Kluyveromyces lactis: one gene and its partner. The protein of the gene in region 2 purifies or fractionates together with the protein of the main gene of each other region. This does not show direct contact. Links are inferred from orthologs where the notes say so. Each region holds a gene or a part of one and is shown on either strand. Other genes may lie near its edges.

The links. The genes of interacting proteins can lie anywhere in the genome.
Region 1: the proteins of SNU71 (region 2) and MUD1 purify together in Saccharomyces cerevisiae (affinity purification with mass spectrometry; 9 studies listed by BioGRID, with this or other methods). This does not show direct contact. The link is inferred for Kluyveromyces lactis from reciprocal best matches to the Saccharomyces cerevisiae genes SNU71 and MUD1.

The regions. Positions count from the first base shown.
Region 1 is NC_006038.1:785,560-788,014, reverse strand, and holds MUD1 (Mud1p), read left to right. Parts: upstream 1-975; coding exon 976-1,893; downstream 1,894-2,455. Other genes in the region: TEF2 (translation elongation factor EF-1 alpha), read left to right, coding at 1-518; CBP6 (Cbp6p), read right to left, coding at 2,137-2,455. UniProt on the Saccharomyces cerevisiae protein: Involved in nuclear mRNA splicing. The principal role of the U1A is to help fold or maintain U1 RNA in an active configuration. It is the first snRNP to interact with pre-mRNA.
Region 2 is NC_006039.1:1,599,412-1,602,698, forward strand, and holds SNU71 (Snu71p), read right to left. Parts: upstream 2,264-3,287; coding exon 557-2,263; downstream 1-556. Other genes in the region: MCY1 (putative cysteine synthase), read right to left, coding at 2,418-3,287. UniProt on the Saccharomyces cerevisiae protein: Component of the U1 snRNP particle, which recognizes and binds the 5'-splice site of pre-mRNA. Together with other non-snRNP factors, U1 snRNP forms the spliceosomal commitment complex, that targets pre-mRNA to the splicing pathway.

The DNA of each region.
Region 1 (2,455 bases), on a different chromosome or scaffold from region 2:
TTAAGTCCGTCGAAATGCACCACGAACAATTGGAAGAAGGTCTACCAGGTGACAACGTCGGTTTCAACGTCAAGAACGTTTCCGTTAAGGAAATCAGAAGAGGTAACGTCTGTGGTGACTCCAAGAACGATCCACCAAAGGCTGCTGCTTCTTTCAACGCCACTGTTATCGTCTTGAACCATCCAGGTCAAATCTCTGCTGGTTACTCTCCAGTTTTGGATTGTCACACTGCTCACATTGCTTGTAAGTTCGACGAATTGTTGGAAAAGAACGACAGAAGATCCGGTAAGAAGTTGGAAGACTCTCCAAAGTTCTTGAAGTCCGGTGATGCTGCTTTGGTTAAGTTCGTTCCATCTAAGCCAATGTGTGTTGAAGCCTTCTCTGACTACCCACCTCTAGGTAGATTCGCTGTCAGAGACATGAGACAAACCGTCGCTGTCGGTGTTATCAAGTCCGTTGACAAGACTGACAAGGCCGGTAAGGTCACCAAGGCCGCTGTCAAGGCTGGTAAGAAATAAGTTTAACTTGATACTACTAGATTTTTTCTCTTCATTTATAAAATTTTTGGTTATAATTGAAGCTTTAGAAGTATGAAAAAATCCTTTTTTTTCATTCTTTGCAACCAAAATAAGAAGCTTCTTTTATTCATTGAAATGATGAATATAAACCTAACAAAAGAAAAAGACTCGAATATCAAACATTAAAAAAAAATAAAAGAGGTTATCTGTTTTCCCATTTAGTTGGAGTTTGCATTTTCTAATAGATAGAACTCTCAATTAATGTGGATTTAGTTTCTCTGTTCGTTTTTTTTTGTTTTGTTCTCACTGTATTTACATTTCTATTTAGTATTTAGTTATTCATATAATCTTAACTTAACGTAACAACAACTTTCATTGTCAACAAATTTACTAATACTAATACGTATGGACTATTTGTTAATAGGTTGTGATATCCTTCTCTATTAGGTTATTACACATGCCATACAAAGCTAGTATCTATCGGCAAGCAATGGTCAGTACCTTATATCTGTCGAATCTACCGTCGAGGCCCGACTCATTGTCCAAATTCAGAGCCTTACTACTATCAAGTGTTAATTCAGATCATCGTTCTATTTCAAATGATGTTAGTACAAGATTCGATCTGAACTCGAAGAAAGAAACTAGTGAGGCTGATGCGGTTACACCAGTACTCGATGAAAAGTATCAGATCATAGAGGTATCAAGGTATGGCTCAAGACCCTTGAGGAGGTCTTGTTTCGTCACTTTTAAGGACTCAGACAGTTGTAATACGTTCCTTATAGAATTTCAAGGCAAGCTCAAGATTAATGGGAGAAAGATAAATATAAAGCTGGCGAATACGGATTCTTTCGCAGCTTTGTACTACCAGGGACAACAGAAACAGCTACAGGATGAACTTCGGTTACGTACACGTAAAGCTGTGGATAATTCACAGCCCAAGACCAAGACAAAAAACGAAGTGTTGAAAAGAAGGTTAAGAAGAGCTAGAAGTAAGCTTAGAAAGAAGGATTTGGACGAAGAAACCATACAGAAGCTTCTTTCAAAGCCCAGAAAAACAAATCCTGAAGGTACCAACAAGACTGCTATGTCACAGCAGTCGGAGAAAGTTTCCTCCACTAAAAAAGTCTTTGACATTGTCGGAAATCCCCCTCACCATGTCCTATTGGTTCAAAATCTTCCAAAAGATGTTACTCAGCAAGAATTGGAAAAGTTATTTGTCTCAGATGGATTTAAAGAGGTTAGATTGGTCAGTGTCAGAAATCTTTGCTTTGTTGAATATGATTCTACAGCAAATGCCACTAAAGTTGTTGAAACCTTAGGTCATGATCATCCATTCAAGAATGTAACGATAAAGATTGGATACGCCAAGAAATGATTCTACATTTCAATGCGAATCAATAAATTCAAAGCGTTCACAGGTCGGAACTGGAACCAACAATCTACGCTTTAATAGTACATTTATCAGCAACAGATAAACAGAATAAATAGAATAGATTGAATATAAATTATTTACAGTCAGTGTATGGAGGCCTGTACAGTACAGATACACTAGAAACGAAAAAGACAGAAATGATATATACATATATGCATACGAAGCTCTAAAACCCTGAAACCGAAATTACTTACCAAATACGACAGTTCTCATAGCTGTAAAGAAAGTTTCCTTACCCTTACCTTCGATTTCGTCATGCAATCTTTTGTAATAAATTGGGTTACCTGCTGGCTTGTATAATTTGTCCCCTACAGCATAATAATTCTTATATTTATCGCTCATTATAGCATTCAACGATCTTATCTGTTCTTGGATTTGAGTATCGTTGAAATGTTCTTCTGGTAAAGCCTCTTGAACTTTCTTTAATAGATCTTTCTTCAAACCTAATGGGCCAGAAGTTCTGTTGATAATATCCTTAATCTCTGCAAGAGAAGGCTTACTTTGC
Region 2 (3,287 bases):
AAAAAACTTATAAGTAATTTGAGATGAATCAATAAATGAATGAATGGAGGAACACAAAGAAAAGAAAGATGTATACACCAAAATATTACCACTGGTAACGTTCTTTGTTGAAAAGTTTGACCCTGACGATAAATCTCGAATCTAAAAACTTATTATCTTTTGCCTAAAGCAACCCGAACGAAAACAGAAACTAAATTCCACCATTATCAGGTGTGTACATAAGTTACAAGTAATAGAATCTCTATGTTTGTTCCTTTGTTTATCTCATCCTGCCAATTCTTCCTGTAACCGTTCTGGATCTGGTAAAAAATTGGTGAAGTTGAGAATGTATCGCTATATACGATATACAAAACGCGAATCAATATGAAACACGATTACCCGGACCTCTAGTAACCTCATGTTACCGCCCGATCTGGCTGGAACACTCGAATCGGGCGAAAAAATTTCGTGACAGTCACGTGAGACGTAACCGGGTAATAGAATCTCATTATTAGACATGTGACACACATACCTACATATACATATATATGTATATTCACATGTATGGTATATTCCACTACTGTTCCATCGCTTCCCATATACGGCTCACTAGGACAGGGCTATCTTCGTCGAACGTCTCTGTAAGCTCAGTCTCGAGTGCCTGTTTCGATTGATGTTCTTCGATGTTTTCAAAGATATATGAGACTAAGTCGGGCTCGTAAACTCCCAAGTATTCTTTGACGAGTTCTTCCACTACGCCGCTTTCCCTTAGTAGATTCAACTTCTGTTGGAACGCATCGGTTTCAGGAGTCTCTTCCTCTTCTATCTCATTCTTTGTCTTTCCAATGGATTTCTTTAGTGCTAATTTAATCTTTGGTGCAGCCGTTGTCGCATCTGCGTCCGATACCAATTTTGTCTCTGTCTCTGTCTCTGGCTCTAGCTCTAGCTCTAGTTCTGTCTCTGGCTCTGTTTCTGTTGCTTTTTTCTTTGGTACTTCTTCAGATTCCCGTTTACGGTCCTCTTCATCTGCCTTGGATTCAGATTCCTTGTATGGCCTGTGATGGTCGTGGTAAGGATCCATGGCAAGATGTAATAACTCTTTTAACATAGGACCTTTGTTCTTTTGTAAATGCGTTTCGTAGTTTTGTAACCTTTGGTATTCTTGTCGTAGCGATGAGTATTGGACCAGTAACGAATCTTGGAAACTATGAACCATGGATTCATACTGGGCTTCTTGCGCATCTCTTTCCGCTTGAACTCTTTTTTTTTCCGCTTCGTAATCGTCCGCATCTTCATCATCGTAACCCTCAACCTCGTCGTCTGAATCTTCAGAGTCACTTTCAGCTTCAGGGGCTGAACCTTTTTCCGAGCCTCCATTAGTAACCTTGATACGGTCAAATATATGCTTCAAGTTTTGTTTCCTCCGTTTTTCTTCCTCCGCTAGCTCTTTATTCCGTTTCTCTTTCTCTAACGTAATGACACGAGTTCTAAACTCAACAATATCCTTACACAATTGGTCTAATGAGGAACTCGGAAGGTCACTCAACGTACTTATATCCACGTTATACTCAACGGCACTATTTCCAGCCAACCCTTTCTCCTGAGATATAGAGCCTGGTTCAGATCTCAACATTGTAATTAATGCGGAGAACTCATCTTTTGCAGTTTCATCGAGTTCCTTAGCAGGAGAACCTTCCGTCAGATCGCAAACGAACCGTCTAGTGTTTTCATCCATGTGAAGTCCGATCCCATCTGACCCGTTGTCAAACAATTTCTCAAGTAACTGTATCGCTTTCCCATATTCTTCCACTATACTTTCCTGGAAACTTATATATACCGTCAACGTATTCACACAATCGACGTAACTCCATTGTTTGATAAATTTGGTCTCATTATCTTCAACTTGCAGCTTTTTCCGTATTAGATTGTCTAGTCTGTCCATAACTTTATCAATACCCTTGGATCCAAGTCCCAGTGGAAAATGTGCTAAACAAACGGTATGCAACTGTTGTTCTAACGAAATTGGTAAAAAGGACTTCAAATCAACATAGCGTGAAGTTGAAGTCTTGAATTCATCAGAATTGTCCGTTTCATTAGTCTTCGAGGCTACTGAATTCCCTTTATCATGGTCTCTATGGCTGTTGGCTTGTTTCAACGACTGTTCAAATTTGGGGATATCACTCTTCAAAATCGGCACATATCCTGGCTTCGGCACCTGTGATTGCCAGTTCTTCGTGTCTCCACAGCAGTATAATGTGGGCGACACAAACAATACAGTATCCATTAGTGAGTTAAACACGTTCGGCCTAGTAGTATCAGCGTTTATTTGCTAACTCATCGCTGAAACTTTACGTCTACTCTCTCGATATATATATTTCAAGATTTTTCCAATTAATTGATATTTACAAAAGACCAAAGTTAAACACACTGTACGTTATTTATATGATATCTGAAATTGAAAGATCGTTACTCACCTGCAGGGCCTCTTTCCAGAACTTGCTTAAATGTCTAGAGCCACTGTCACATGCAATGATGCAAACATTTGAACCCTTCGGTAAGTTTTCCGCATATTTCAGCACTGCGACTGCATTGATTGCAGTACTGGCACCAACGAATAATCCGTCATTTACACATAAGAATTTGGCCATCTTAATAGCTTCCTCGTCTGTAATTCTGATGGAATCATCTATATAATTTTCCGCTTTCAGAAAGTTGTTTGTAATTCTGTTAAGACCAATTCCTTCCACTAATGTGTCCACTTGATGTCTTCTTCTTGTTCCTTCTTTCTCTACGTTATCGTACATGACACCGTATTTGATTCTATTGTAGAAACCCGAGCCTTGCGGATCAGCCAACACAATATGTACTTTGTCACCTCTTTTCTCCTTTAGATAACGAGAAACACCGGCCATGGTACCACCAGTACCGCATCCCGTGATGAATGCATCCACTTCCCCATTTAATTGTAGATAAATTTCAGGTCCTGTCGTTTCGTAATGGCATTTCCAATTGGCCTCGTTCTCGAATTGATCTGCAAATACACCAACACCCTCAGTGTACTCTTCTGAACACGACTTAGCTGCATTTACGTATTGGTTCGGATCCACTATACTAGCAGGTTTTACCTTGTTCACTATTGCACCAAGTGCAGTTAAAAGAGAAAGTTTCTCTTGGCTTGTATCGTCCGGTAGCGAGATATGGCATGAGTAACCCAACGCGTTACAACATATTGCAAGGGATATACCTGTAGATCCGCTTGTTCCTTCAAAGATTCTATTTTTCTTATCACTTGAACCCTTAATACCTTC